Arabidopsis thaliana: one gene and its partner. The protein of the gene in region 2 interacts with the protein of the main gene of each other region in a pairwise test. Each region holds a gene or a part of one and is shown on either strand. Other genes may lie near its edges.

Region 1 (17,433 bases), 6.5 Mb from region 2:
CTATAGCTCGTTGATTAAAAACGAAAATCATCAGAACAAAACGTACCGATCTTGTTGATATCATTGTTGCTGGGCATGGGTTTGTCACGGATGTCACAGGCGCTGACGTTGAACAGCATCGTTGTCAGTGGAGAAGAATTAATTTTGATATTCTGGTCGGAGAGAAAAAGAGACGGAGATGAAACTGTGTAATGTCCGAAATGATTTTAGACCCAACAAAGAAAAAAAACCTAATGTTCAGATAAGAATCTTCTTTTACCTTTTAGAGAGCATGCACTTTTGGGAAATTTTTAAACATGGGCGCGTACGTAGACTAAATAATTATGAGTTAAATCTAGTTGATGATTTTGTTAAGGAATTTGACCAACCTTGGTTTTGCTTATACTTTTTAAATTTTTTGTTTTATGGGGCTTCTAAAATTCACCTTTCTTTACTAGATGTAACTTTAATTTATGAGATGATTTGTTAACGGTTATTTATGAGAGAAATTAATATTTCAACCAAATTGACGGATTATTGTTAAGTGGTTAAGCTCCCGCGCAAAACTAATATCTTTTTAGATTGGTTGAAAAGCTGAATCGGATAAGCTATTGGATTTGTAAAATTTATTTTTTTTTGTTTTTTTTGCTTCTAAGAGTTTTTTAGAAAACTTTTTATTCTTAAGAAGTTAATTTGATGGATAATAATCGTTGACATGGGTTTGTAGTTTAATTTGGTATGGTCAAGGTTTTATTCTTAGGAAGTTAATTTAATGGATAATACTCTTTTTTACTAGATAAGTTCCCCCGTACAATGTTTTTAACAAGCTAAGAAGTTAAGTCAGATAAAATATGGGTTTGTAATTTAATTTAGATTGGTCTAGCTAGTTTTTATTAGTTTTCCATTCAACGTTTATTTTTTTTAAGTAGGTCTTCTCGTGGTATGTCATAGATTCTGTTTTTTCTACATCGATTATAGTTATGTTATACAATAGTTTTGAGGGTTCATCTAATGAGAATCTATGAAAATCCACAACATGACCTCTCAAATTAGCATCTAAGTATATAGAAATACACTAAGTCTCCTTTAGCTTAGTAAAATGCTATATACACATGTATTATAAATACTAGTTGTAATATTATGATTCGATTATGAGAATTTACTTTCTGATTATGAATAATATGGTATGAGAGCAAAGTGCTTAACAAACTTTCTCTCTTTCTCGTTCTTCTCTATTTTCCCGGAAAATTAAAATTTTCTTTATACATGTGTTATTTTTTCAAACCGAAATATACCATATATATATGATACATTATTGTTAGATTTTCTTTTATATCATTACATCATATTTCTAAAATATATTTTTCTAATATGAAAAACAAGAGATATTTTCCCTATATTTTATCTTTATTTTCTTCACATTAAAATAAAATAAAATCATTTGATAATAAAATAATTAAGGATTTTTGTCGGTTTTTGTGTCGGCAGTTTATGGTATAATATCTTATAATTTGTTTCTGTTTTTTTCCTCTTCACTTTACTATAAATGTGAGAGATTTTCCCTATATTTTCCCTTTATTTTCTTCACATTAAATAAAATACAAAGAAAGATCAAATCATTTGATAATAATATAATTAAGGATTTTTGTGTCTGCAATTTATGATATAATATCTTACAATTTGTTTCTGTTTTTTTCCTCTTCACTTTACTATAAATGAGAGAGATTTTCCCTTGATTTTCTTCACATTAAACAAAATACAAAGAAATATCAAATCATTTGATAGTAAAATAAGTAAGGATTTTTGTCCATTTTTTGTTTCTGCAATATATGGCTTAATATCTTACAACTTGTTTCTGTTTTCTTCCTCTTCACTTTAATATAAATGACTCTTCACTTTAATATAAGTTACATTTTCCTATATTTTATCTATGATTTTCACATCATTTAAAGTAAAATATAAAGATAAAAATATATGATGATAAAAAAAGATATACAGTATAAGATGTTAATTTTGATTTTTTGCTACATGTATAGCAGATAGCCCTTTAATTAGAAGTCTATCTCTACTACATACTGAAGTATGAAGTTTATGATTGGTGTCGACAATCAAGATGTTTAGTGACCCCCAAAAATAATTATATAAAATCTTTAACGATTCTTGTTTAGTAAACCAATATTATCTGAATTAATGATGATTTAAACGGCATTTTTTAACATGAAAATTAAACCATAGAAGGAAAGAAGTTTATTTGAGCGATGATCCTAGACATTCTTAATATTGTTCTCAAACTTTGGAACAAAACTTAAGAAGAGGAACTGTGTCTTCCCAAATCAACTCCAAGATAAACGACTCATTCATCTCAACACCATTAACCTCGCAGAAACCTTTTGAACCTCTTCCTAAACTCATTGTTCCGATCTTGTCCATCAGTAGTGAAGTACGCCATTTTGCATCGTATCTATCAACCATCGTTATCTTCCCCGCCTTTTTGATTCCATTCCGCTTCATGAATTCAAACGGAAGATTCTGTAGATACCATCATCAGATTATATATCGAGAGTATTAAGTGGAAAAAAAAAAACAAGAAAAAAACAGAGTTTTCTTGTGAAACTTACAAGTTTACTTGAATGTGTAAGTGTTAAGGTCACAAATCGGTTTTGGCTTGTTGAGTTTTTCTCTTCTGTGGAAACATATTCTTGTTTAATAGTTTGTGAACATTGTCCTTGCCTTATATCTTCATTGATAGGTTCAGCAAAAGGAAGAGTATCTTTCTCGCTAGCTTTAAAGGAGTCATTACAGTAAACTTCTTCCCCAAGAAACTCATTTTCTGTGGCTTCCATGCCAAGAAACTCTTTTTTGGTAACTTTTAAACTCTGTCCATGCCTTGTGTCATTGCTAGGATCTGCAGAGGAAGAAAGTGCTTCTTGTTATTCAATTTTATTTCAATATTTTTGTTTCTTGAAAGAATAAAGCATAAACAACTTACTAAGTTTGTGTAGATCTTCACTGTTCAAGGGTAACAACTGGAGCACAGGTGTTTCTTCGTTATGGACTAATTTGAATTTGAGCAAGTCTCCTGGTTTCTTCCCATTAGCCACACAGAATCTTCTCCAACCTCTTATCGTTAAAAACCGGCCTGTATGTGCCTCATGTTTCACATCTATCGTCCATGATTCTCCCTCTTCATTCATTAGACACATCTGAAATTTCTTCAACAAACCATTTGACATAATGAACGTCTTCGGAAGATACTGCAGTCAAGTACAGTCACCATGAATATCATTAAAACACCTCTCAGTCAAATCAAAATCAATATATGTAAGTCAGGAGTATCATAACCAGTCTATCTCGGCTTAGATTTGAAGCCGTGACAGTGGCTACAAAAGAAGAAAGGTCCGGTGAAGAAGGAGCTGCTTCTGTTTTTCGAATCTTGTGTCTTGGAAGACTCTCTGTATCAATTATAGAATCTGATTGAGATTTTTCTCAATAACCAACGGATTATGAAAATTAACTTACGAAGTTTGTCTAAATCTTCAATGGTCATAGGGAACAACTGTATCATAGGTGTTTCTTCATTTTTGACCAATTTGAATGCAAAAACGTCTCCAGGTTTCTTCCCATTAGCAATACAGAAACTTCTCCAGCCTCTTCTCATGTAAAACCGGCCGTAATTATATGCCTCGCGTCTCAAGTCTATCTTCCATGATTCTCCTTCTTCATTCATTAACACAATCTGATATTTGTTCATCAGACCATTTGACAATGCAAACTCTTTCGGAATATACTGCAAATGCCGCCACAAGCCAAGTTAGATAGAGTTATCAAGAATATACAATAACATAAAAATTACTGTAATGAGTAATATGGAAGTAACATACCAATGTATCGCGCTTTAGATTCGAACCCGTGACAGTGGCCACAAAACAAGAATCTAGTGAATTGTCTGGTGCAGACTCAGCTTCTCTCTTTAGACTCTTTTTCTTACTTGAAACATTCTCCGTACCACAAAGTTTCTCTGTTGATAGATTAAGTAATATTCTTAGACTCATTCTAAATGTGCTAATGATATTTAATATGAAACTAAGGTTACCAATTTTATCCTCTTCAAGGGTATCTTCTCCGTATTGAATCTCACAGCAACTTGGTCCTAAAGCTGTGACATGGAACACTAACTCTCCTTCTTGTCTGAAAACAACAATGTCACCAACTCGGAGATCATGTGCGATTGTGAAATCTTCCCAACCATTAGAGAGTCTCCGGCCGTCTATCTTCACTTTCCATGTCATCTCCGATGCATCTGATCTGAGCTCAGCCGTTTTTCCTACGTTAGTTCCCACTAAGTACTTCAAGAAGAACGCCACAGGAATGTCCTGAAACAGCATGCTAGATGAGTTACAAACAGAAGTAACTTAACTGGTCGGAGAGAGTATAGAGAAACAGAGTACCAGGTGGTTGGTGAAACCGGGAAGAAGTGGTTGGAAGAATTGTGGGTTGATCGGAGAATAGAGAAGTGGATTAGCCATATTCAGACGTTGAATTTTTTTAAGTTTTTCTTCTTCTGAGCGGAGAGAAGATGAACTAACAACTTTGTATCCCTTACTTCTGTAATGTAAAAAAATAACCTTTCTCAGCTTTCTATACAAAACGTCAAAGAAACTTTCTCAGCTTTTTCTATAAAGCAATGTTAAAAAAGACCTTTATCAGCTTTTTCCAAAGACTATATATTGTTTTCGAAAAAAACAAGTTTTGACTGAGAATAGTGTTGGGATTGAACATAAAGACTCTGATTGGTTATGGAAAATATTCATCAAATAAACTTAGCAAATATCAATGAACGAGAAAAATAAATCTTGAGAAGACATTGGTCTTTAACCAAAAGAAAGAAAAAAAGAAGAAGAAAAAGATCTGAAACTAAATATGCTTAATTCAACACGTAGGTACCATAATAATGTAAAAATAGTTTACAAGAAATTAAATCTTAGGAAGTGAAAACATTCATGTTTGCTATCAAAATATCATATGGTTTTGACAGTAAATTAGTTAGTTACGTTGTGGATTCGTTTTTGTCAAAAAGAATAAGAATTCGATTCTTTGTTTGCATTTACGTTTATATTTTTCAAAAAGTGAGTTTATTGTAAAACTGAAAAACGTTTTGTATTTTTAACAATGTAAAAGAATATTTTAAGTACACGCAAAAAAGGCTTAAAATAATAGTGTGTTCAATCTTCAATGTAAGCAACATTTCTCTTGAAACCACAAACAAAAATCACGAGAGGGAACTATTTGTACATCAGTATTCAGTAGCACTGTAGGAATACGTATCACGTGCATCTAGGCTATCTCTTTATTCCCCACAAAGCAAAAAAAGAAAAAATCCAAACTAATCACTACAAAGTACAAAGCGCAACGCACCAAAATATCCATCTTTTCTTTTGTTTGTGAACAGTTCCATCTATTGTCTCCTTTTCCAGTGAAAACCAATATGTATTGGGTCTGAATGGAAGAACAGAGGAGTTACGGATATAAAGCAGAGCAGGACAAACACAATTGTATCTTAATAAACCAATATATCCAGTTATTCACCTGTACTTGGTTTTGTCCTACTACAATAATAGATTTGCATTTGAATGCATTTAAGTATATTAAAAAGTGGTTAAACTAACACTATTACTACAATTATCCAAATTATTTTCGTTTCTAATATTTATTCTTTCTATTTTCTACTTCTATGTTAAAATGTCTTAATTGTCAAACTATGAAATCCACATCTCACTTTGCGCTGAGACCACATCTTTTTTTCAGCATAAACGTGAAAATTTCTTTAGATTATATTAACTGCATATAAGTATAACCCAAAAAAGAAAAAGTATAACCCTAATTCCAGATAAGTTAATATGCTACTAGTCGTTAGCACATAAGAATTTATAGCATTAGGTTTAATGTCTTGCATAACACGTAATAAAATCTACCTCTATTGTAACTTTGATAGTCTCTCTTAAATGGGTCATTTGTTTCTGAAAATCCTTATTTACAAAATAAAGTACAATTCTTCATTCAAAAGAAAAAAAAAGTACAATAGTTTGGTATAATAATAGCATATGTTTTTTTGTTAAATTAAAGACTGTCTTGGTCATGAACTTGAGACATATTTAATTGTGTCTTCCTCTTGACAGGCATTTGTTGACTTGATGAACACGGACTCATCTCTACCTTATCGAGGTACGAAACCTGGTCTTTCGCTAGGAAACAATATGTGAAATTTCCGAGTGCCATAACACACACAAGTAACACGCCAACAAACAGAAACAAGAAACTGTCTATGTCAAGCTGCCTAGAGGTGAAAGAGGGATTTGGATCTGGATTAGTAATTGGATCAGGACAGCTTTGTTCTTTCTTCTTGAACCATGCACGCTCGAGCTCCATTGCCTTTGGAGACTCTGCTACTTTTAAGATGGCCCTTGAAACATCGGCCACTAGAGGTGATCCGATTGGAAAAACCTGCGAAAAAGGACTTATGATCTCTCACCATTTAATGCAATTTTCACATAAGTTTTGATATAGGAACTTACAAAGCCGAATCCATCAACATTGAAGGGTTCTTCAACCATTTTGTATGTGTTGCAAAACTGTCCAAGAAAGAGTCTCAAGTAAGGTATTTCCAAGAAAGCTCCAGAGACACCACCTTTTTTTGGTCCTTTACTTAGAAGCTCATCACATTCTTCTGCAGTATCAAAGGGCACAAGGCTAGATTGCGGGAAACCTCTTTCTTTAAGCTTTCCAAGGATGAAGGATGTTCGCTGATAACCCACTGTTTCTCCTTTTTCAAGCAAACTACTCATGCTGGTTATTGTTGGATTTAATTTCTGTGATGTCAAAAGCGATGCCAAACTCGCTGTGTAACTCTGGGTTAACACGAGAACGAGAAAGTACCATGCGATAACCAGGGCCCTCGCCCAAAAGCTAAATACTCTTTCTCCTGCAGACAGGGAATCGAGAATAAGAATCAAGCAAGGTGCATGATATATAGGAACATATATATGCTGACATGTAGAGAGGGGAGATTAAATGTACTTGGAGCAAAAACCATGGTAGAGAAGGCAAACCAACAGATGGTACTAGCTTGGAATCTAGGCGGTCCACTAAAGTCCGGATTACGCTTATATTCGAGAACCCATACAGTACAACCGACAAGGAAGAAAGAGATAAAGGAAGTCAACCATAGTTTCCATGACAAAGGTTTCATGAAAAGTATATAGTCTCTCTTTACTGGGTCTGTCATTTCAACGATCAATCCGACACCTGATTTAATAAATGGGAATGTGAAGTCGACGTAAGAAGACCTGTTCACCAATATGGTTGTATCTCCCACAACCGCATCATATCTCTGTGACAGAGAAGCAAATAAGAGTTCACTTAGTATAGTTATAAATGCTATATTGATGAATGATTAGTATGTGCTCATACTCACCCCGAGGTACACTTGGTAGACCAAGTCGTTGTAATTACCGGCTGTTTTTCCGTCGGGTTTTTCGAAAGGTATGAACTCATATGAGACGTCATAAGGCAGTTCTCGAATCACAGCCTCAAAGAAATCTATGCAAAAACCTGTGACTACAGTTGAATTGGTAATAGGATCCCTTGTGACTTTCACAAGATCAGTGTAGCCGGTTCTTTTGGGAACTCCAATACGCAACTTCTTCCCCTTAGTCGGGATCTGCCATCCTTTCGGAACAGAATCCGCCTCTCCAGGCCATACAATGTGTTTAAGATGATCTTTCCAAGTAGATAAAGCGCTTATGCTACTTGCTTGCTGATCAAGTTTCTTCACAAGACCATTTCCCTCCTTCCAAAATCCTATTGATTTTTCTCCGGTATTGATTATATTGACAATCTCAAACACCGATGGTTGCAGTTGCCCGCGGAAAAAACGAAACTCTCCTGCAAGTCCTCTGAACTGAACTGTTAAGAGTGTTTGGAGAAGCTTTGGACCGAACTGAGATAAACCAAGAGCTTCAAGTTCAGAAACATTCCTCCCTGTATCCACCACTTTACTGAAAGTCATGTTATTTGTTCCAGCTTCTTCAATGGCTACCGCTAGTGCGGTGGTAGCATCATAAGCCCACAGACCATAGACACTCAGCTCCACCCGTGGGAATAAACTTCTCCATCGAGATCTAAACTTCTCAAGATCTGGGGATTTTGGAATATAAGTTTTAATACCCAATACCCCCTCCATAGCCTCAACAGCCGTCTCATTTATCAAACTTAAGTCATCGATAACTCCATTGGTAAGGATCCAGACATATCCTGGTTCCATCAAACCAAGCTCTTTTGCTTTAATGAAGAATCTTGAGGCAAGATCATAGTACATGTGGACAAGGAACACTCTTGTGGGCATGTTCATCATCTTAAGAAGCTCCACGGAGATTTCATGATCAGTGGCATTGATAGCGATAACGGATCTATAAGGTATCCGGACATTAATATCTTGTAAAGCATCGGTAAGACGAGGCATTATACCTTCACCAAAGGTGTTGTCAATGTAAACTGGCACAACTTCTCTCCATCCGAACAATTTGATGATGGCTTTTATTGGTTGAACTTGAAAGGAGTCTTCGTACGTAGCACGTAAGAAGTATGGACTACGAAGGGAAGTAAGAATTGGGCTTGTTGCAGAATAGGAAACAATAGGAACCCGGGACTTTTGGCCAATCTCGATCAGGAAGTGAGCTTGCATAGATGTCCATGGCCCCAAAATAGCCTTCACTTGTTTGTTCTTTATCAGGTCAAGAGCTGTGACAATGCCAAAAACATTAAAAAAAATCATATTTATTTTGTTTGAAGTAAAACTATCTTTGGAAGTAAGTAGAAACATTTTTAGTTGGAGAAAATAATTATTTATATATTCTAATTAACTCTAATTATATTGTAGTATTTATTATACTAGGAATGTTCAATGGGATTGCCAATCACCAAAAGTTTTGCAAAGTAATCATTTTTTACACATTTGCAAAATAATCATCACTATAATTCTTGTCAAATCCAATAAAAAAAAGTTTCACAATTCTTGTCTTCTGAAAATAACTGTCATTTTATTTACATCTATTTACAAATATACTATATATTTTACCATTAATTATATGTATAGTAAAATAATCATGAGAGTTCATAAGATATATTACATTATGTATCCTAACCAGGGTCGGTGTATTACATTATGAAACAAATGTTCTTATGTCCAAAACTTTATTTGGGCAAATTTAAGGGTCCAAATGCTTTTCTTATATATAATTATGTTTTTGTTTTTGTAATTATGTTGTTAAAAGGGCCCAAATTTTTATATATCAATTTCTTTTTAACATATATATAGATATATGGTTATTTAAAACAAAAAAATAGTATTGACAAAGGCCAATTTTTAAATTTGTACAGGATCCGAACCAGTCCTGATCCAAATAAAATATATATTATATTATATATATATATATGAGAAAGCAAGAGGCTGGAGAGGAGAAGTTAAAAAACCTGCAATCGCGGCACCTACAACGTCACTTTTGGAGTCACCTACGTTGACAACAAGCCTTGTCTCAAACTGGGGATTGGAAGAGTAGAAATCACTAATAGACATGTTGATGCAGAGCATGACAACCTTCGAGTGTGAAGTATCGACATCTGTTACAACACCGACATCGACTAGGGTTTTGCCGTTGTTCTGTCCTCTGTTGAATTCCAAACAGAAGAAGAAGACGAGCAAGATGCAGAAGAAAAGCTTTTCGGTCCTCATTTGGAGATTTTTCTTTCTTCTTTTAGGTGATAAGTGATAGATGATGCTTATTGGTTTAAATAATGCACACATATATAGCAAAATTTTAGATAGTTGCTGAATTTTTTAATATCTCATCCTAATAAGCAATGAAACATTGTGAAGATAAGAAGCAAATACGATTTCAAAGTTCGCGGCAATGTTTAATACAGATATTTCTGTATTTAGATGGTTTTGTGCCATCGTGTGCATGTAGTTTAATCAAAAATAAAGAAGGTTTCGTGTTTTGTAGGAAAGGACTTAGCATTATATATTGCAAGAAAATAATGTTTTGTATACACTTGACACAAAAAAATAAACATAAAATACAGTACAGCTTGATTGAAAGTAACAGAAAAATAAACTTTATTATCTTTCTACAATTTACTTGTAATTTTCTTATTGCAACTATAGTTTACTTGTATTGTGTATCTAAAGTTATGACATTTTCATTTCTATGAAAGTCGAGCAATAAATTATTATTCAGTCGGAGAGTTATGTTAGGACTTAGAAGTAATCCAAAGACTGGGCAATTAATAAATTTAACATGAAAATAATCATGGTAAAACACAATCAGGAGTGTAATAAAACGTTGACTGATTAAGTAACAAAAACGAAGTAAAAAATCTTGTGACTTTGATTGATCTCAGAAACAGAGGAAAAGAAAAGTAAAACAAAGAACATGTCAACAGCTTTTACAGTTCGACACCGAGCCACTTTGTGCAGTTATCAAACTCAATGTAGTCACTATCTGATATCATAGTCTGGACCACGCTTTTCGTGCTGATTTGATTTTCAATGCCTCTTCCTCAATACGCAAGGACTAAGGAGAATATCAATGACCATTTCAAAACCCTCGCCCTCAGAGTTCAAATCAACTCTTAGAATGTTATTAATTATAGATATCTTCCTCGTACTTTTAATACTCGAGCAGATTGTTTAGCTAAAAAAACTCGGGCTCGAAATAATATTTTCTCCCATGTATGCACATCAGTTCCTGAATGACTCTTTCTAGCGGAGAATTTCTTCCCGATAAGTTAATATAAATAGTGTTTGTTGAAAGAAAAAAGAATGTTATTAATCTATTGTATATTTATATGTGATTGAAAAAACAGTTCGAAGATAATAGTTATATTGTGTCTTAGTTTCGACTTTTGCAAAATTAATTGTATGTATTTTCTGAAACTTGAGGTTAAAGTTGTAAAAGATAACAATTCGTTTTTGCAGAAAAGCATTTGAACTAAGACAAATAATTTTCTCTCAATTCTTTTTATTGTGATAGGTGACATCCAACTCAGCACAAACGAGACATATGGCATCCGACTCAATTGAAATTCCACACATGTCATCTTACTCAACATAAACTAACAGTTGTTGAGTAACATTATTGTGATCAATGTTGATTCCGGCTAAAGCCTGGAAATTTATGGAAATTATTTAAAACTTTTGTTGGTGTATAAAAACGCACCACATTTTTTGTTTAGGTTAATATTTTTTGTACTCTATATCGAAGATAAGTCAATATGCTTACTATAAATCTTTAGAAAATGCGAGAAATCCTAGCCCTAGGTTTACTGTCTTGGGGGAACAAGTAACATAATCAACCTCCTGATATATAAGAATGTGGATAGTCCTTACATGAAAATTGTTGCTTTCATCGTTTACGAAAAATTGATTTTAAAAATAACTAAATAAACAACATTAGTTTTCGAACAAATGAAAAAGAAAACACTACAGTAGTTTTGTTTGATAAAAACACACGCCTCTTTGTTAGTTAAATTAAAGAGTCTTGAGACATTCAAACATTATAGTTGTTCCCTTGGGTCTTGATGAATATCATCAGCGGGTGGGTTTACAACATCTTCAACAGGCGCTTCTTCGTTCAACAAACACCAAATACAACCCATTAATTATGATTCTGAAATTAACACCAAATACTAAGTTTGGATATGTAATTCAAATTTTTTTATAGTTCAGGTTGAAAAATATACTCAGCATATAGTACAAGTATGAAAATACCATTTTCCCCACATGTAAGAACCCATAGCCTTAGGTTTACTGTCTTGCATAACACGTAACGAAAATCAACCACTATAGTAACTTGATAGTCTCTTATACATTATATGGATCACCTATTTCTGAAAATCGTTATTTACACAATAAAGTACAATAGTTTGGTTTAATAAAAACAGACGCCCTTCTATGTTTTTTTAAATTAAAGACAGTCTGGGTCTGTTTGGTTTACTTGCACGATATTCCTAACTCTTAACTCCATACCGTAGTTTGTCTGGTTTGTTGCTTTATTGCTGTTTTCAGGCATCTCTTGAGAACACAAGCATTTCTCTATGTCGTTGATGTACGAGTCGGTGTCTCGTTTTAGAAACTCTTTCCACAAATCTTTCCCTTTTGTCTTCCATAGGAAACAGAATGTGAATTTTCCGAGTGCTAGAACGCAGACAACAAACACAACAAGAAACAAAAACCAGAAACTGCCTACGCCGAGCTGTATAGCGGTAACAGTTGGATTTGAATCTGGATTGGTAACTGGATCAGGACAACTTTGTTCTTTCTTCTTGAACCAAGCGTGCTCGAGCTCCACTGCCTTTGGAGACTCTGCTACTTTTAAGATGGCCCTTGAAACATCGGCCACCAGAGGTGATCCGATTGGAAACACAAAGCCGAATCCATCAACATTGAAGGGTTCTTCAACCATTTTATAAGTGTTGCAATATTGTCCAAGAAAGAGTCTCACGTAAGGTGTTCCCAAGAAAGCTGCAGCCACACCACCATTTTTTGGTCCTTTTTTCAGAAGCTCATCGCATTCTTCTGCGGTATCAAAGGGCACAAGGCTAGATTGTGGGAAACCTGTTTCGTTAAGCTTTCCAAGGATGAAGGATGTTCTCTGATAACCCACTGTTTCTCCTCTATGAAGCAAGCTACTCATGCTGGTTATGGTTGGATTTAGTTGTTGTGATGTCAAAAGCGACGCCAAACTGGCTGTGTAACTCTGAGTTAACACGAGAAGGACGAAGTACCATGTGACAACAAGGGACCTTGCCCCGAAGCTAAGCACTCTTTCTCCTGCTGACAGCAACTCAAGAGTAAGAATCAAACAAAGTAATATAAACATATATAAGATGACATGTAAAAGGTGGAGATTGAATGTACTTGGAGCAAAAACCATGGTAGAGAAGGCAAACCAGAAGATGGTACTAGCTTGGTAATTAGCTGGTCCACGGAAGTCCGAATTGACCCTATGTTCAAGAGTCCATACACTAATTCCAACTAGGAAGAAAAAGACTAAGGTTGTCAACCATAGTTCGATTGACAAAGGTTTCAAGAAGCTGAATTTGTCTCTTTTCACTTCATCTTTCAATGGGACGATCAATCCCACACCTGATTTCATGAATGGGAGTGTAAAGTCAACAAAAGAGGACCTGTTCGCCAGTATGGTTGTATCTCCGACCACGGCATCAAATTGCTTAGATGGAAAAGAAAACAAAAGTAATTCACTAAAATGGTTTTGCTAATGCTATTTTTGAGGGATGATTACTGTGTGATCGTACTCACCCCGAGGTACACTTGGTGGACCAAGTCGTTGTGATTACCGGCTGGTTCACCGTTGGGTTTTTCAAAAGGAAAGAACTCATAAGAGACGTCATAAGGCATTGCTTGAATCACAGCCTCAAAAAAATCTATGCAAAAACCTTTGACTACCGTTGAATTGGTGATAGGATCCCTTGTGACCTTCACGAGATCAGTGAAACCGATTCTCTTGGGAACTCCAATGCGCAACTTCTTCCCATTAGTCGGGATCTCCCATCCTTTCGGAACAGAAACGGCCTCTCCAGGCCATATTATATGTTTAAGATGATCTGGCCAAGTGGATAAAGTACCTATGCTTCGAGGTTCTTGGTCAAGTTTCTTCACAAGACCATTTCCTTCCGTCCAAAATCCTATTGACCTTTCTCCGGTTCCAATCATATTGACAATCTCAAACACCGATGGTTGCAGTTGCCCGCTGACAAAATGGAAGTCTCCTGCAAGACCTTTGAACTGAACTGTTGAGACCGTCTGGAGAAGCTTTGGACCAAATTGTGATAAACCAAGACCATCAAGTTCAGAAACATTCTTCCCCGTATCCACATTACTGAAAGTCATGTTATTTATTCCCGCATCTTCAATGGCCATGGCCAGTGCAGTGGTCGCATCATAAGCCCACAATCCATAGACATTCAGCTCCATCTGTGGGAATCTCCTCTTCCAACGTGATCTAAACGTTTCTAGATCTTTGGATTTTGGAATATAAGTTTTAATACCCAATACCCCCTCCATAGCCTCAATACCCGTCTCATTTATCGACCGTAAGCCATCCATAACTCCATTTGTAAGGATCCAGACATATCCTGGTTTCATCAAACCAAGCTCCTTTGCTTTAATGAAGACTGTTGAGGCTAGAGAAGAGGACATGTGGACAATGAACACTCTTGTGGGCATGTTCATCATCTTAAGAAGCTCCACAGAGATATCTTGATCCGTGGCATTGAGAGGGATAACGGATCTATAAGGTATCCGAACATTAATATCTTGTAATGAATCAGTGAGACGAGGCATTATACCTTCTCCAAAAGTGTTGTCGATGTAAACTGGCACAACTTCTCTCCACCCAAACAACTTGATAATAGCTTTTATAGCATGCACTTGAGAGGAGTCCTCATATGTAGCTCGGAAGAAGTATGGACTGCGGAGAGAAGTAAGAGATGGGCTTGTTGCAGAATAGGAAACAACAGGAACCCGAGATTTTTGGCCAATCTCGATCAAGAAATGAGCTTGCATAGATGTCCATGGCCCCAAAATAGCTTTCACTTGCTTGTTCTTTATCAGATCAATAGCTATGACAATGTCAAAACCAAGAAAATTCGGGTTGAGTATGTCAAACGTGAACATAGTTTACATATAGTAACATTAACATACATGTATAGAGAGAAAGCGAAACGAGAAAAGAAGGTACCTGCAGTTGCGGCACCTACAACGTCATTTTTGGAGTCACCAACGTTGACGACAAGCCTTGTCTGAAACTGGGGACGAGAAGAGTAGAAATCGGCAAGAGACATATTGATGCAGAGCATGGCAACATCCGGGTATGAAGTACCGACATCTGATACAACACCGATGTTGACTTGGGTTTTGCCGTTGTCCTGTCCTCTGCTGCTTTCCAAACAGAAGAAGAAGAACAAGAACAAGAAGCGGAAGAAAAGCTTTGAATTTTTCATTTGGGGATTTTTCTCTTTTTATTTTAGGTGATAATTGATAGAAGCTTGCTTATTGGTTTGTGTTTGCAGTCTTCACACACACATATATATATATATACCAAAGTTTTGGATAGTTGTTGAATCTTTTAATATCTCATCCTAGTAAGCAGTGAAACAACATATAAAGATAGAAGCCAATACATTTCAAAGTTCGCAGCAATTTCTAAAACAAATATTTTTCTGTATCAAGGGGTTTCGTGATATTTGTAGGAGATGACTTAGATATATTGTAAGAAAATAATGTTATACGTATGACGTAGGACATATGACGAAAAGTTAAAACAATATATAGAATTCAAGTTGATTGAAAGTAAACTAAAAACATACTTTATTGTGTTTATACAGTTTACTTTTTATTTTCTTATTGCAAGAATAGTTAACTTGTGTTGAGCAACTAAAAGAATGACCTTTCATATCTATGAAAGTCAGCAATTAAATTTCAGTGGTAGAGTTATGTTGGAAGTAATCTAAGACTGGGCAATTAATTGAATTTAAAATGAAAATAATCTTGGTAAAACGTCGACTGATGAAGCAGCAAATCTTGTGACTTTGATCTCAAGAAACAAAATAAATAAAAAAAATAAAACATCGTCTAAGGGTTGCAGATTTTACTGTTCGACACCGAGCCACTTTGTGAAGTTATCAAAGTCAGTGTAGTCTCACTATCTGATATCATAGTCTGGTACCATGCTTTTCCTGCTGCTTTGATCTTCATTGCCTTCTCCTACAATAAACAATGAGATTAAGAAGAATAATATCACTCACGCAAGCCAGATCAAAGATTCTAATTTCTAAACTCATCAAGTCTAAACAATCCCTACGAAACCCATTATCAACAAAAGAAGGCAAATAATTGTTGATCAGATAGTTCCACTAAAGATGATTCAATCATAGAAAGAATTCAAATATCTTTGAAATGGGTTTCCTCTTCCTCTCGAGCTTCTCCTTTTTCGACTTAACTCTCTGAGCTTCAGCCAACAAAGACATCCTCCTCACAGTCTTAGCATAAGGGTTAAGCTTCAACATCACATTCAAATTCTTAAGAGGATTCTTCTTCAACACAGCACTCTTCACATCTTTCTCAATCGGTCTAACCACACTCTGAACCTCATCAGAATTAATAATCCTAGCCAAATCAGCATTCATTTTACCTAGACCAGATCTAATCCCAAAAAAATTGTAATTAGCTCATTAATAATATTTCTAGATGTGGGTGGAAATCAAGATAATAAGAAAATATGGTAAGAATTGTGTGTTTTCATGTTGTAGGGTCTTAAAAGGAATTATCATTCACACTGTTGTATTATGAGTTATTTTCCGAAAATATACAAAAATTAGCTTATATAAAGAAAACAAAAGAGAGCCGAGTCGAGGTCAAGAAAAACATCTAAGTTAGTAATTTTAGAGTTGGATCCTTTTCACCCCGAGAGAATCAAAGCAAAAGAAAATTCAAAGGTTCTCAAAACATAAAACATGATGAATAGCGCATAGCAAAAAAATAAGAGATTGTACATGGATTAATTGGGGAATAGTTTTAGGACAATAAGATTGAAATCACAATCTAAATTTTAAAAATAGTCAAAATATACATACAACAAAAATAAAATATTAATGTTATTTTATGGAATAAAATTAAAAATCTTATATTTTGAAAGAGTGAATACATTTTTGGTTGGGAAAAATGTTTTAAAAATCGCGAATTTTCAAATTCGGGACGGAAAAAGCATGAACTTTCGATCTGTCATCAAAAACCCAAAATTTGGTTTGATTTTCTACTAAAATAGTTAAGTGTCGTTGACCAGAACATTTTTCGGAAAGTTATCTCTCTCATCTTTTAGTTAGCAAAAATGTTTCAGCATTGTCTAAAATGATTTAGTCAACAAAACTTAACCATTTTATTATTAAGTCAAACCAAACTTTGGAATTTAAATGATATTTCGAAAGTTTATGTTAATTCCGTCCCAAATTTGATATTTTGCAATTGTTTCTACATTTTTCCCATTTTTTTATTTTAATACTTCAGTATTACACAATTGGATAATTTATTAAAAGCCCAATAGAAAATGACATGAGAGTTACCCTCCATACTTTATTAAAAGCCCAATACAAAATGAAGCCCAATAGATCTCCATCTCGACCAGATTCCATGCTTGAGGCAAGAAAAATATTTTGTTCTCTTCTATCATTTCCGTTTTGACAAAGAAGTGACGGAGAGGACGACGATTTCGACACTTCTGTTCTCTGCAGCTATTAGGGTTCTAAACTTGTAATTCAAAGTTTAGGTACATAATCTTCTTCCCCCTTTTGGTACCAAATTAGATATTCTTTGTGATTCGA
Region 2 (16,593 bases):
TACAATTGAAACCCTGTGGAACACCTCTTCTCTCATCAGCTTCATGCGGAGATGCACTCACCAAAGGAAAAATCCATTGCCTCGTCCAGAATATGCTTTCACCTTTTCGGAGGGAAGAATCTGTGGGCAAAAAAGGAAATTCTGATTCTAGCATCCCCGAGAGAAGGTCAGCTCGATTTAATAATACTGAGGAAGAAGATAAAGTTGGTGGACTGAAAAAAGCCAAGAAAAGCAACTCCTCCGACTTGGGTGCTTCTAAATTATCCCTGCAACTCATTGATGAAGACAACAAAACGATTAATCTGCCAGACAATGAAGCAGAAGCTATGAAATTACCGTCATCAGCTACTGTAACTATATATTTGGATTGGACACCAGAACTCTCTGGTATGTATGATATAACTTGCCTGGAGAGTTTGCCTGAAGTACTCAAATACGGACCTACTACCAAGAAGGCTCGTTCAGAACCTCTTTCTTTATATGCATGTTTGGAAGCGTTTCTACGCGAAGAGCCTTTGGTACCTGACGAAATGTGGTAAGCAGTCTTTTCTCCTTATCCTTCCTGTGAGACTCATTTTTTATGGTTTGTGGTAAAAGTTGAACTACGCATTACTACAAGATGATGAATGATGTTCAGAAATTGCTAGTGTCTACTACGGATGGAAGTTGAACACACTGTATTTTTGCAGTAGATTTTAGCCAGTATCTTCTACTTAGCTGACTAAATCAATCAATGGTATCATTTCTCTTTTTTTGAAGGTTCTGTCCACAATGCAATGAAAGAAGGCAGGCAAGCAAAAAGCTTGATCTGTGGAGGCTTCCTGAGGTCTTAGTCATACATCTAAAGAGATTCTCATACAGCAGGTCCATGAAGCATAAGTTGGAAACATTTGTTAACTTTCCCATTCATGACTTAGATCTAACAAAGTATGTAGCCAACAAAAACCTATCTCAACCTCAACTATATGAGCTCTATGCCTTGACCAACCATTATGGTGGTATGGGCAGCGGACACTACACTGCACATATCAAGGTCAGTTCGAACAACTAAACTTTTTCATTCTGTTTCCATTTCTGAGTTTCTTGCTTGTTTTTCTTATGTTTATTATCGAATATGGTCTGCAGCTTTTGGACGACAGTAGGTGGTATAACTTCGATGATAGCCATATATCACACATAAACGAAGATGATGTGAAGTCAGGTGCTGCATATGTGCTCTTCTACAGGAGGAAGTCTGATGCAGGCGGAAAAATGACATAAGTCTGCTCAAAACGACAATCTCCGAGGTAACAAATACCAAATTTAATTCTAAAAAGATTCTTAAAAGAAGTTTAGTTAGATCACTGAAACGTAGTTGTGGACTTGTGTTTACGCGTCTTGCAGGTTCCAGTAGTAATCTCTACACAGCTGTCTGCAACTTGGAACCCATAAGAGTGACAATTAGGTTTAGATCTATTGTAAATTAGTGGAGTTGGGTTCTGAGTAGTTTAATTAACAGAGATGAATATTGTCTCTCCTTCTCTGTCAGTTTCTGTATAGATTGTGTTTGGCATAATAGCAGTACTGTTATTGTCACTGACACATAATCACAAGACTCAGTCTAAATATGTAGTAGACAAGGTTTTTTATCTAGTTTGCCCAAAAACAAAAAGACAAGTTTCTTAATGGGCTTTGTTGAACGAATGGGCTTAAAAAATCAACGCTAGCCTCCTTGATATCTCCACCAACCGTGACCGGGAAACATGAAAGAACTTCCTCTTCCTAATTAGTAAGAACAAGAGTACTTAGGGTTTTGATATAAGTTTGTGGGTAGCGCTTTGTCAAAATCTATTGGGTTTGGTTTTTCGTCCAGCAGTCATGCAACGAGAGAGGAGTATGAAGAGGAAGAGAAGAAGAAGAGGAATCAAAGATATGTGCAATAGGCACGACTGCGAGATCCCTCCTGATCTCATGATAGAAATTCTTATAAGATTGCCAACAAAGTCCTTTATGAGGTTCAAGTGCGTCTCAAAGCAGTGGTCACCCCTTATCTCTGGTCGATATTTTTGCAACCGTTTATTTACTTGTGTAACACGACAACAACAACAACAACCACGTCTATACATGTGTTTAGTGGCCAAAGACAAGCAATGTGTTCTACTATCATCAACGTCACCGGACAACACTTGTTTTGTACTCGTCGACCAAGATTTGAGCATCCCAGGCTACTTCTTCGCCTCTGTTCCTGGCTTGCTGTGTTTCCAGTTCGGAACAAAGGCGTGTATCTATAACCCTAGCACCAAACAACTCTTGACCTTACCCTCCGTAAAATCCGACATCACAGCTCAACAAGGTCAACTGAAGACTACCCAATACTATATTGGACGCGATCCTGTTAATGATCAATACAAACTAGTCTGCACTATTCTGATATACTCGAAATTGTTTGCAAACATGAGCTCAGAGCATTGGGTCTTCACACTAGAACTTGGAGGTTCCTGGAAAAAAGTTGTTCCACTGGGAAATTATCATCCCCATGCTCCTGCCACAGCAGGACGGTCTATCGATGGAGTAGTACATTATCTAGCCTGGGTTGATTTGTACAAGTGTGCGGTTGTGAGTTTCAACATTAGGTCTGAAGAGGTTACTACCTTCCTATTACCTCGGAAAATCTGGGATGTGCCTGTGCCTGCACTGATGATGAAGGCGGATCTTATAGAGTATGATGGAAAATTAGCAATTTTCAGTCATAGCTACCTTAAAGACGAGGGTTTGGTAGAATTATGGGTATTGAAAGACGCTGCTGGGAAGAAGAAATGGTCCAATATGATCCTGGTTTTGCAGCCTTGCCAAAGGCATTTAGTCCATGGCATTGATTTGATCGTAAAAGGTACAACTCAAGACGGCAAGGTTATACTGTCACCCTTGGAGATGCGTTCTCAGTTCTACATTCTGTGTTATGATGTGCAAAACAATGATTTGAGAAAGGTTGAAATCACAGGAGTACCACGCCTTTGGTTGCATAAAGAATGCAATTTTGACTTGAAGTTTATGGATGAGAGTGAGAGCTTCATCTACTTGGAAATTTGACCAATACTTTTGACTTTTGTTTGTGTACCAGATAAGAATACAGTTAAGTTTTTTTTTTTTCTTCTGTCAAGATTAGTCTCCTACCCATAAATCCACCGAACCCTCGTTAACATTTATTATCAATCAAGAACACAAAAGAGAAGCACTCTACTAATTTGAGAAAGCGCTTTATGCTTATCTCGGTTTCATGAATGACAGTTGTTGTTTATATGGTCAAAGTTAAAAGGGTCTGCTTCATTCTTCACCATCTTTTGTAGAGACAACAAGATGATGCCTGCTCTAACAAACAAGCATGTGCCAAAAAATAATCATCTGTGCTCTTCTATACACACTAATCTTGTAAAACTCATCAAGGCTCAAAGCATAAATCGATGTGTCATTATTATCTGCAAATCCGAGCTTTGGCCAACTGCTTATAACAGAATGAACCAAACCAATTATAAATTGTGGTTTAGCATGTGATTATGTAAATAGAAATATGAAAAATCTTTTCTATATAAAAATGTAACTATTCTCATAAAATCTATTTAAAAATAAAAAAACGAATTTTATTTTGTTTTTCCTATTTTTTCGTCGAGAAAAACTTCATAAATAACGAGGCCTATATTGGCCCAACAATATTATATAACATGCTAACAAAATAAATAACAGCCCACGTAAAAGAGATAAGAAGGCCCATCGTGGCCCAACCGTAATATATATATATATATATATATATATATTCTTATCAACAAACTGTAATGCGTTGCTCTTCCAACTGCACAAATTCGAAACCCCTAATATCGTCGATTTCCGTATTCAAAATCCAAAAGCACACAAGAATAAGAGACCCCTTTGCTCTTTTGGTTGTAATTTTGGTTTTGAATAGAATTGAGCTGAAGAGTTAAAAGAGATGAAGAGAAGAAGGAAGGATCTGAAACAAGCGGCGGAGTCAGAGCAGGAGGAATGTCAGAGCATTGCCCAGGTCGTCTCTCTCGGAGATTCCGATCAAATTCAGGTATAAATACGCCAATTCGTAGCGATTATTTTCTTTGGCTTAAAGTTTGAATTTTGACTTGTGGTTTTCATGTTATAAGTTTAAACCGTTCTTATTTGCTACTATTTTTGGTCTAGCCGCCACCCAACAAGAAAGAAGAAGAAGATATATGTGAATACTTACTGCAGAATTTTGATCTTGATCATGTGATGGAAATTCTTATGAGATTTCCTTTAACCTCCCTGACGAGGTTCAAGTGCGTCTCTAAGCAGTGGTCATCCCTCATTTCTAGTCGATATTTTTGCAACCTTTTATATACTACGGTCACACGACAACAACCACGCCTATACATGTGTTTAAAGGATGACGGCGGGCACCGTGTACTGCTATCTATATCATCACCGTCTCGAGGCAACACTTCTTTCGTGGTGGTCGAGCAAGATTTGAGCATCCCAGGGATGGGAGGCTTCTTCTTGAACGTTGTTCGTGGCTTGATGTGTTTCTCTCGCAGAAAAAAGGCGCGTATCTATAACCCCAGCACCAAACAACTCTTGACCTTACCCGCCATAAAGTCCGACATTGTAGCTCAACAAGGTCAAACGAAGCATCATCCCCGGTATTACATCGGACACGACCCTGTTAGTGATCAATACAAACTAGTCTGCACGGTTGCGATATCCTCGCTATTGCCACGTTTGGGTAATCTGAAGTCAGAGCACTGGGTCTTCGCACTAGAAGCTGGAGGTTCGTGGAAAAAGGTTGTTCCACTGGAAAATTATCGTCATCATGCCCCTTCCACGGAAGGACGGTCTACCAGTGGATCAGTAGTGCGTTATATGGCCTGGCCTGATAATTATAATTGTGTGGTTGTGAGTTTCGACATTAGGTCTGAACAGTTGACTATCATCCCAGTACCTAGGGAGATCCACCTTGACGAGGTTGTGCCTGCAGTTACGATGATGGCGGATCTTATAGAGTATGGTGGGAAGATAGCAATTTTCTATCATACAAACCTTAAAGACGAGGGTTCCGCGGATTTATGGGTTTTGGAAGACACTGGGAAGAGTGAATGGTCGAAAAAGACTCTGGTTCTGCAGCCTTGTCAAAGGCATTTAGTCGAAGACATTGAATTGATCGTAAAAGGTACAACTCAAGACGGCAAGGTGATCTTGGCACCGGTGGAGATGCATTCTCGATTCTACATTCTGTATTACAACTTGCAAAGCAATGACTTGAGAAAGGTTGAAATCAAAGGAGTACCAGACTCTTGGTTTGATAAAGAATGCTATTTCGACTTGAATTCTATGGATAAGAGTGAGAGCTTCATCTACTTGGAAACTTGACCAAGACGGCAAGACGTTTGATTTCCTTTTTTTTTTTTTTTTTTTTTTCTGTTTGTTGTTTAAGAATACAACCGAGTTAAATGATATTTCTAGTTACTTGAATAAATTTTATCTTCATGCTCTTGATTTTATTGGTCTCCTGCTTAAATGCTTTTTTCAAGCAGTAGCATATTGAGGATAGAATCTTTTTTGTAGAAGTTTGGATTTTGGAATTAGCAGATTATTTTTAACGTTATCTCCATTCTCTTTCATTATCAGCACGATGTGTTCAGTCAGTTGTTTGGTATTGATAATGATCTCCATACTTCAAAACTCATTTTGTTAAAATAATGAATGAAGAAACTTTTTTCCATCAAGCAAAACACAAAAGAGAAGCAGACGTTGTTTTTGGACTTCATCCATTTTCTTAACCCAATCTCTCCCTGTAGTTGCTATAGTTTCTTCTGTCTTCTCAGCTTGTATTTGAAATGGGTACATCACGTCTGCTGATTCGAATTTAGCCTTGATAGTTAATGCTTATCTTGGTTTCATGAATGGCTGTTGTAAAAGGGACTGCTTTCATTTTTCACCATCTTTTGTTGAGACGAGAGACAACAAGATGATGTCAGTTCTAACAAACAAGCATGTGCCAACAATTAATCACTTATACACACTAATGTTGTAAAACTCATCAAGGCTCATAGCATAAATCGATGTGTCATTATTATCTGCAAATCCGAGCATAGAATGAACCAAACCAATTAAGGATAGTGGTAAATTAGCACGTGAACCAAGCGGTTAGCTTGTGAATTGTGATTATGTAAATATTAATTTATTACTTCCTTAATTTTCCTTTTTATTTTCCTTTTCCTTTTCTACCATTTATTATGTTACCTTTGTCTTTGGTCATAAAGATAAAGACTACACAAAGTAGGTCTCTCTTCCGACTGCGCAACTTCAAAGCCCTAATATCGATTTCTTTTGTTTGGTCGTAACTTTAGTATTAAAGTTTGGATTTTTTTGAATTAAATTTGAGCTGAAGAGTTAAAAAGATGAAGAGAAGGAGGAGGGATCTGAAACAAGCGGCGGAGTCAGAGCAGGAGGAATGTCAGAGCGTTCCCCAGGTCGTCTCTCTCAGAGATTCCGATCAACTTCAGGTATAAATACGCTTCCTTTATGCAATCTCCCTAATTCGTAGTTTTTCCTTGGGATCAATGGCTTGGCTTAGTTTGTTGTATTTATGTACTGCATGAAAGTTTGAATTTTTACTTCCCTTTTCATGTTATTGTTTTGAGTTTCCAATTGCTGTTTTGTTGTCTCTTTGAAGATAATGGATGAAAAAGGAGACAACTCATTAGCATTGCTTCCCGCCAAACTTCCTATGCGCATGTGTAGCACACGAGGTACTTTTCTTGCTTAACAAGGTTGCTTGATTCTTCTCTCAAACTTGTACAAATCTCTCTTATTTGCTGTTTTTTTTTTTTTTTTTTGGTGTAAAAGAGAGAAGAAAATACACGTGCGAGATTCCTCCGGATCTCTTGATGGAAATTGTTATGAGATTGCCAGCAAAGTCCATGGTGAGGTTCAAATGCATCTCCAAGCAGTGGTCATCTCTCATCTCTTGTCGATATTTTTGCAACAGTTTATTTACTTCTGTCACACGAAAAAAACAACCACATATACACATGTGTTTAGTGGATCACGGCGGGCAACGTGTGCTGCTATCATTATCATCAACGTCTCCAGACAACACTTGTTATGTGGTCGACCAAGATTTGAGCCTCACAGGAATGGGAGGCTTCTTCTTGAATCTTGTCCGTGGCTTGTTGTGTTTCTCAGTTAGAGAAAAGGCATGTATCTATAACCCCACCACTAGACAGCGCTTGACCTTACCCGCAATAAAATCCGACATCATAGCTCTAAAAGATGAAAGGAAGGATATCCGGTATTATATCGGGCACGATCCTGTTAATGATCAGTACAAACTAGTCTGCACGATTGGGATATCCTCTGCATTTTTCACAAATCTAAAGTCAGAGCATTGGGTCTTTGTTCTAGAAGCTGGAGGTTCGTGGAGAAAGGTTCGTACGCTGGAGAGTTACCATCCTCATGCTCCTTCCACAGTAGGACAGTTTATCAATGGATCGGTAGTATATTATATGGCTTGGCTTGATATGGACACTTGTGCTGTTGTGAGTTTCGACATTACGTCTGAAGAGTTGACTACCATCATAGTAACTCTAGAGGCCGGGGATGTGGCTCTGCCTGCAGGTAGGATGAAGGCGGGTCTTATACAGTATCATGGGGAAATAGCTGTTTTCGATCACACCCATCTCAAAGAAAAGTTTCTGGTGGATTTATGGGTATTGAAAGACGCTGGGATGAAGAAGTGGTCGAAGAAGAGGCTGGTTTTACAGCCTTGTCAAAAGCATTTAGTCCATGATGACATTGAACTGGTCGTAAAAGGTACAACTCAAGATGGCAAGGTTATCTTGGCACCGGTAAACATGTGTTCTCAATTATATATTTTGTGTTACGATATGGGAAGCAATGACCTAAGAAAGGTTGAAATCAAAGGAGTACCAGACATTTGGTTTGATAAGGAGTGCTATTTCGACTTGAAGTACTCTCTGGATGAGAGTGAGGACGTCATCTACTTGGAAACTTGACCATTGACTTTGTTTTTCTAGCTGTTTAAACAACTGAGTTAAAAATAAATTTGAACTTTGTCAGAGAGTTAATTTAATTTTTAAAATTTGCAAAGGAATGTTTCTCAGAACGAGCTTAAATTAGTCTCTTTACTTAAATGTTTTGCTACAAGCAGTCACATAACATCTCAAGAACAATAGAATCTTTCTGTGAAAGCTTGTGATCAAAATAGGTTGTTTGGTGTTGTGAAGAGAGATTAGTCCCTTGAACTCGTGATCGTTTATTTTATCAATCATGAACACAAAAGAGAAGGAGTATATTTTTGGACAGATGCACATGCAAGACCTTTTAATACATCCAAAATCAAACAATGTTAACATCTTATGTTCACTAATATATATGATCTTTTCTAGCTACAAGCATGTCTCTCGGTTAGCACAATTAATTTGTTAGGTCTGTCATAATTGTCTGTTGTTGGTGTGAGGCTTAAACTAATTAGTTTAAACAGAGACAGAGACTCAAAAACAACTCATGATCTGATCAATATCTCTGATATATTATAGACACGTCACCACAGTTATAAGAGACTGGAGTCCAATAAGATTACCAAATTGCTCAAAATACCATTTTCATCAAAGAAATAATAAGAAAAAAAGGAAAAAGATGAAACAAAAGAAAAAAAGACATGAACTTTGGGTAGGCCCAAAAGTTTGAGTGTGGAAATGAAGTTGCGGGAGGGTGATTAGATGACCATTTTGATTTGTTGCCCTCTTTTTTTCCCATTTCTCTTTACTACCCAAATACGCACCCACACTTTTGACCCACACCCACTTTCTCTATTTTTCTTTCTCAAATTTCTTATCAAATCATGCGTTTTTCTTTTTTTTTGAATATTTTTTCATAAAAAAACCCACCCCTTAAACATTTAGAATCTTGAGTATAATTTATGTCGGCTATTTATGTCTATACACATATAGACACACAAGTTTATATCATATTTTATAGTCCGAACATTTTAAAGTAAAAATATTAAGCTAGATCTCTTAAAAATTAAAATACTCAAATTCAGGTTAATATGTATTAGGAGATCTAGCTAAATATCTATATGTATGACAACCAATTATTACACTATAAATTTATCTAAAAATTTATAGCCAAACATGTATTGTTTGGTTAAATTTCATAGTTTGTACCAAAATACAATCTATAAGAGTATAATGTAGCAACTTAAATGTTTAAATGTGCACCTACAGAGAAAAAAAATACTATTATAAATTGGTTATACGTAATTGTTTTATTAATGATCATATAGTTTTGTTTCCTGCGATGATCATATAAAAGTTAAGATAGGAAATAATAGATTTGATCATCTAAAAAAAGTGGATAGAAAAATATGTGGAGATAATCAGGCATCGTGGTTTATTGGTAAAGGAAACTCGACTGAGGCGCCCATCATCCGGGTTTGATTCCTGGCCATTAAGAAATTAACATGCGTACTTGCTCTAGTGTCTCAGACCATTAGTTCCAGCGGATTTTTATGTGGAGGTTTAAAAATCCCTAATCGCGGGTTTAGGCCCAGTAAGATAATAAGATTACTGTGTGGTCTGGATATTTAGTTATAAAAAAAAAAAAAAAAAAAAAAATGTGGAGACAGACGTCCGACACCGTGCATGGTTCAGCTCGTCACATTGATTCTATAGTTTGGTAAAAATATATGAATCATATTGAAAACTCAAAGTTATTTAATTAGAGTTACGAATGATTTTTACGTGACAAATCAAAAGTCAGATACATATGCCAGATTTTGTCAGAAGGATTTTGTGTAAGCATATAATTCCCAATCGCAGAGACGTAAAATATTCGATTCGTTAACTAAATCGTAAGGAGTTGACACTTGTCTCCGACAGCGGCCAGAGTCGATTTACGTGGAATCCACACATCCGCACTTGCATGACACAAACTGCACCTTTTCATCTGTTTTTTTTTTTTTTTAATTTGAAAGTTTTACACCCAATGGTGCTAATTTTAGTAGCCACATACATAACTATAATATTAAAATGTGCAAGAGATCATTACATAATTGGAACGAAATTTTGATCATGAAACATATGGTTTACACTAATACACGAATAGAAATCCTATTATGATGAGTTCATGCATGATACAGTGGTTGGTATACTTCACTATAAATTTATATGATCTTGAACTCGAATATAACATAGAATGATCATATATATATATATATATATATATATATATGAAGACATTCCAATATTGTTACTATTGTTAAATAATCAACATCATATCATTTGTACAACACTAGTCAGTTGGTTCAATCATAATACTTCTAAAGTACTTATGTTTTTATACATGCAGACGAGTGAGCGTGAGACATTTCCTCTATTTGGATAAGTATATTGAATTATTAATTATTAACATAATGGATAGTTTAAATTTCAAAAAAATAACAAAAAAAATAATGATGGATAGACTAGAACCTCCAATTAAAACAATGCAAATCAAGATGTTGAACCGATCGAACCATCAAACTTTTTCGGATTGCATAATAAAATAATTCGTCTTTGTTCTCATTCTCACCGTGCATATACATATCAACAAAGTCATGCGACCTAATATAATACAGTTGAATCTATCTAATTTTTTTAAAAAAAATTAAGATACGAATTCCACACAAACCTTCTCCAACTAAGTAAAGTAGCCACTATTGTCACTTAAAGTGACATTAATGCATATTCTATAAAAGATAATGGATGCCCAACTAAACATAAGTGAAGTATTTGGGATATATAATAAAACAAAAGAATCCAATGAGTTATGCTATGTGGTTAGCTTTTGTTCACGAATTTATATATTGTATAATATATGAGGTTTACATTTCGGATAAGCAATTCTAGGCAGATCGATGATATGTACGCAAACATGTATAGATGTATTCAAGAATTGAGTATATAATTGCTTATCCGAAATGTAAACAACAGGTATGAACATATATAATTAAGTGCCCAAAACAGAACATATATTCAAGATTTTCTTGTACTAATAATATTCTTTTTTTTGGTAAGGTGTTCTAATAATATTCTGATTAGATTAACTTTTAACCATATATAACTCATAATTATTTTGTTACGTAACTCTAAAAATATCTGGGGTTTTATTTCTTTGTGAAGAGATCGATAACAGACAAGACATGTAACACATATTTTGTCCACCTTAAATTTCTAAACATGAAATGTAGTTTTGAGATATTGGCCGGTCCCAATGTACGTAGGATTGAACCCAATTGATTATTGCTGCCACGTGGAACTCAATCTGTCCACTTATGCTTCTTCATTGATTTAACCTCTTATTAAAGATCGATGATTTATGACCATGAATGTAGTAATTAGGATAGAGGTGGACATACGTCAGATTCCACACGTATATAACCCCATATTAGCATTACAATGAGTTAATCTTTTTGCAGAGGTCGGTCGATTTGTCAAATTTCTACTATACATTAACCAAAAGATATTCTACTATATATTAAATAAAGCAATTAGCTTATGATGGTGATGAGTCATGAGACCACATATATCGAAAACCACGGTAGACTAACAATCGCAACAATTTTTCTGTGGCTTTCAAGTTTCTTTTAATCTTTTAACAATACGCTAATCCGATCCGGCTAATTTTAGTTCAGTTTGGATTTTGTGATTTTATAGACAAGTCCACAGTTTAAAAAAAAAAAAAACCATGTTTAAAGCCAATTGCATGAATAAAATAATTTACATGCATGTTAGAATTACGTTTTAGTGTCCATATGTACTTATTAGTTTTTTTGTTTTTTTTGCAACTACAACATATACTAATGTTGTTGTTTTTTGTGCAACTAAAACATATACTACTATAAACATGTAAATTTTGATTGTTAAGAAATGAGGTGATGTTAATTAATCACTTGTTCCACACTGATCACACTTTTAACCTCGACTTTTAGTAGCCACAAGTTTTATTTAAAATCCTAATATGATTGGTTTCACGAAGTCATATAAACAGAATATATATATGTAGAATGTTTTATCCACTTACTTTAGAGATAATGAATTCATGACACCCAATTCTTATGCCGAATCAAACCGGAATAATTAACGCTAACGTCACCGAAAAAAAATAAAATAAAAATAACAAAAATACAAAGGAAGAAATCAGAGAACACTGAACATATCCGAATAATATGCTATATATACAAAGAACCTCTCACCACTTGGTTCTCAGGAAAAAGCACATTCTCCAAGTGTTTCTCTCCTCTCTTTTCCTAACTCAGTTTTCTTATATACATAACACTAATTTGACAATTTTTTTGTCCTCGAGGATCCTAAAATAACTCCAAAACTTTGATTGGTTTTTCTTGCTCTAAAACAAAAACAAAAACAAAATATTAAGATGGGATTAAGGATGTCAGAATCAGCTAAACCTTATTTTGCAATGGTCTGTCTTCAGTTCGGATACGCAGGTATGAACTTAGTAACTAAAACCGTCCTAGACCGCGGTATGAGCCATTACGTTCTTGTTGCATACCGCAACGCTTTTGCCACAGCCGCTATCGCACCCTTCGCTCTTCTCTCCGAAAGGTACATATTTCTTCTAAAGAAATCGATTCTCGCAAGACTTAGATTTTTTTTTTTTTTTGGTAGTAATAATTATGTATTGGGGATTTTTTTGTAGGAAAGTGAGATCAAAGATGACGTTTCCAATATTCATGCGAATATTTCTTCTTGCTCTTCTCGGGTTAGTCTTCTAACAGAACCGTTGATATCAAGAAGATTTTGTAATAATTACGATTAAGGCTAACATGGAAGGTTTAATTTGAACAGGCCGGTGATTGATCAGAACTTATACTATATCGGTCTAAAACTCACATCACCAACGTTTTCCTCCGCCGTTAGCAACATCGTGCCTGCAATTACCATTATCCTTGCCACACTTTTCAGGTAACATACAAAAAGCAACTTTTTTATTATTTACATTTATTCATTTAACCAAAGAAAAAGATACGTTTTATTATATTTTGGTACGTGGATATGCACCAATTCAAAAGTAGATGTATAGTAGTACAATTAGTGTATGACGATCGATGTCATAAATTATGAATATTGATGTGTGTGTTTTATGTAAATATTTGTTTTAAAGGATGGAGAAAGTGGAGATGAGAAAAGTAAGATGCCTGGTAAAAGTGATGGGGACGTTAGTGACAGTGGTTGGATCCATATTGATGATATTCTACAAAGGTCCTTTCATTAATTTCTTCCGGTCTCACCTCACGGCCGCCTCTTCGCCGCCGACGGCTGACTATCTTAAGGCTGCCGTCTTCCTACTCCTCGCTTCCCTCTCATGGGCGTCGTTCTTTGTTCTTCAGGTATGTATCAATTATATATTGATCCTGTGTATAATATAACTCACTTCTTACATCACTAAAAAACGTATAATATAGTTTTTAGGATTAGTTTTAAATTTCCATCAACATAGGAAAATATAGTTTATGCACCAAACCATGTAGGGGATACGTAAAAGTAATATAAAAAATTTGAAATTTTAGATATAGTATTAATAATGTTACTGGGATGTTGTTTCTAATTTTTCATGTTATATAATTTTTAAAAAAATAATTGGGTTAACTATATCTAAAATAATAATATGATTGGAATTTTTTTTCACTGTTTTCGTAATATATAAAAATATAGATTTAACGAATTAGGCTTTTATATTTTGTTAAATAGGCTGCGACTTTGAAGAAATACTCAGCCCATCTCTCAATGTCAACAATGGTGTGTTTCATGGGAACGTTACAGTCTTTAGCCCTAGCCTTCGTAATGGAACACAATCCTTCTGCTTTGAACATCGGTTTTGACATGAACCTTCTCGCTTCTGCCTACGCGGTTCGTCCTTTATTTCATCATGCCACTTTCACAAATAACAAAAAGATCAGTTTACAAAAATATTGATACTAACATTGTGATTGGTAACGGTTACAGGGAATAATGTCGTCGAGCATAGCTTACTACGTTCAAGGACTTATGATGCAGCGAAAAGGACCGGTCTTTGTCACTGCTTTTAACCCTCTTATCGTTGTCATTGTCTCCATCATGAGCTTCTTCGTTCTCGGTCAAGGAATCTACCTTGGAGGGTACGTTAACAACAACCGGTTAATTATGATATATTCCCGGTTTAGTCTTGGCTCTGTCTTGTTAATTAATCAAACCGAAATTTGTTTTCTTTTTTCAGGGTTATTGGAGTGGTTGTTTTGATGGTGGGAGTCTACGCCGTGTTATGGGGCAAACATGTAGATGATGACGGCGAAGAAACACGCCATGAAGATAACGTTGTAGCCGTTAAGTGTTGTAGTGGCAATAATGGTCTAACGATAATGCCGAAAATCGACGAAGCTGATGAGGAGGATGTTGAAACCGGAAAGGCTACGTCGGAGAAGGAGTCGTCAGTTCCGGAAGTGGTGGTGGTAGTTTTTTGTAGTGAAAATGTGCATAGCGTTTCACGACCTAACTAGATGGGTTTTCAATTTTTTTTTTACTTTTTGTTAGAAGCAAAATTGGGGAGAAGAGTAACTTCTTTTTTTGATACTTGTAAGTTTGAATTCCTTTTCCCGTGCTTCAAAAGTTTTATATTTTATTTATAGTTTTGATTTCTTATTGTAACTAAGGGATTCGATTTTGATCGTTGACTAGCTATACAATCCCGTGTAATCACTACATTTGGTATTGGTACGCATCTGTTACATACCATTTTTACGGCGGTTTTAGTGAACTATATTATAAAAAAAAATCGTAAGTTTTTTTGTGTGTGTGTTAACAATGTACTCACTACTCACTGTTCCATATTTTTGATGTACGTATATCGAAAACATTCTGCCAACAAATGCAAACATAACAAAAGTCAAAAACAATAACATAACCGGGAATTAAACCAAAATGTAATTGCTTTTTATTAGTGTCAGGCCTTCTGCTTAAAAATATTCTCGGCCCAGAGCCCATTAACACCTATCTCAATTCATATTGAAGAAAATGACTATATTACTTGACAAAAACTTTAGTCAGAAAAATATGGAATCTCTTTCGGTACTGCTAAGTGCTAACCTTAAATAGTATAGAATTCTTAGTTCATTCTCAAAAACATAGCTATATGTAGATTATAAAAGTTCGATATTATTTCCTGCAAAAGATGTTATAATGTTACAACTTACAAGAAAATGATGTATATGTAGATTTTATAAACTGGTACCGTAATTCATAAAAGATGGTGGTGGGTATGTATCAGTAACGGAACTTACATATGCGTGTGTATTACTATGTCTATATGGTGTATTCCTTTGTGTGGAACAATGCACGTCAGAGTTGTTTATTTTCTTATAGAATTTAAGGAATCAATTATTGGATTTCTCAAGGTGAAAGTGGACTTCTTTGCACGCAAGGTCTAGTTGCCGACTTGCCGTTGCATGTAACATGATTGTTGAAATAAAGTGAATTGAGAGAAGTTTGGCCAGACATTTTAAATTTAACCCAAAAAAAGTAGGGCCTAACACAAAATATAACCTCTCTTTGTTCAAAGGAAATAACACCTACGTCTTATAATTGAACCAAACATTGAATCATTGAACTCACCTATAATAATTATAATAACACGAATTCACAAGACACCTAAAAGAAAAAGTTCACAAAAACAAATAAAAATTTACCTCTCACCAAACACACTCACCTACCCGTCTGGTCCCACTGACCCCAACATACAACACCGACTCTCTCCCACACCAATTTTTTTTTTTGGCGTTTTAAAACAAATAAACTATCTATTTTTTTTTCTTACCAACTGATTAATTCGTGAATAATCTATTATCTTCTTCTTTTTTTTGTGACGGATGATTAGTGCGTGGGGAAATCAAAATTTACAAAATTTGGGATGATTCCGATTTTTGCCATTCGATTAATTTTGGTTAAAAGATATACTATTCATTCACCAAGTTTTCAGATGAGTCTAAAAGATAATATCATTTCACTAGTCACTTAAAAAAAGGGTTAAAAGAACATCAATAATATCACTGGTTTCCTTAGGTGACCCAAAAAAAGAAGAAAAAGTCACTAGTTTCTTTTTGGAAATTTTACTGGGCATATAGACGAAGTTGTAATGAGTGAGTTTAAATTTATCTATGGCACGCAGCTACGTCTGGTCGGACTATACCAAGTTACCAACTCTCTCTACTTCATGTGATTGCCAATAAAAGGTGACGTCTCTCTCTCTCTCACCAACCCCAAACCACTTTCCCCACTCGCTCTCAAAACGCTTGCCACCCAAATCTATGGCTTACGGGGACATGTATTAACATATATCACTGAGTGAAAAGAAGGGTTTATTACCGTTGGACCAGTGATCAAACGTGTTTTATAAAAATTTGGAATTGAAAACATGATTTGACATTTTTAATGATGGCAGCAGACGAAACCAACAACACTAAGTTTAACGTTCGTGGAGTATACTTTTCTATTTTCGAAGAAGACATATAACTAAGCT

The links.
Region 1: the proteins of UMAMIT11 (region 2) and GLR2.2 interact in a protein complementation assay, tested with the Arabidopsis thaliana proteins (one large-scale study listed by BioGRID).

Annotation. Positions count from the first base shown.
Region 1 is NC_003071.7:10,510,784-10,528,216, forward strand, and holds GLR2.2 (glutamate receptor 2.2), read right to left. Parts: upstream 15,277-17,433; 5' UTR 15,058-15,276; coding exon 14,796-15,057; intron 14,677-14,795; coding exon 13,355-14,676; intron 13,266-13,354; coding exon 12,953-13,265; intron 12,866-12,952; coding exon 12,000-12,865; 3' UTR 11,765-11,999; downstream 1-11,764. Other genes in the region: AT2G24696 (transcriptional factor B3 family protein), read right to left, coding at 47-119; AT2G24700 (Transcriptional factor B3 family protein), read right to left, coding at 2,266-2,508, 2,598-2,884, 2,969-3,233, 3,322-3,431, 3,499-3,766, 3,861-3,997, 4,073-4,352, 4,428-4,505; GLR2.3 (glutamate receptor 2.3), read right to left, coding at 6,097-6,480, 6,552-6,958, 7,054-7,366, 7,451-8,775, 9,508-9,838. UniProt on the Arabidopsis thaliana protein: Glutamate-gated receptor that probably acts as a non-selective cation channel. May be involved in light-signal transduction and calcium homeostasis via the regulation of calcium influx into cells.
Region 2 is NC_003071.7:17,061,381-17,077,973, reverse strand, and holds UMAMIT11 (nodulin MtN21 /EamA-like transporter family protein), read left to right. Parts: upstream 1-12,160; 5' UTR 12,161-12,459; coding exon 12,460-12,647; intron 12,648-12,741; coding exon 12,742-12,804; intron 12,805-12,890; coding exon 12,891-13,007; intron 13,008-13,206; coding exon 13,207-13,432; intron 13,433-13,793; coding exon 13,794-13,952; intron 13,953-14,048; coding exon 14,049-14,200; intron 14,201-14,298; coding exon 14,299-14,578; 3' UTR 14,579-14,876; downstream 14,877-16,593. Other genes in the region: UBP5 (ubiquitin-specific protease 5), read left to right, coding at 1-535, 760-1,033, 1,126-1,260; AT2G40925 (F-box and associated interaction domains-containing protein), read left to right, coding at 1,858-3,069; AT2G40920 (F-box and associated interaction domains-containing protein), read left to right, coding at 3,962-4,066, 4,183-5,388; AT2G40910 (F-box and associated interaction domains-containing protein), read left to right, coding at 6,420-6,524, 6,695-6,770, 6,868-8,036.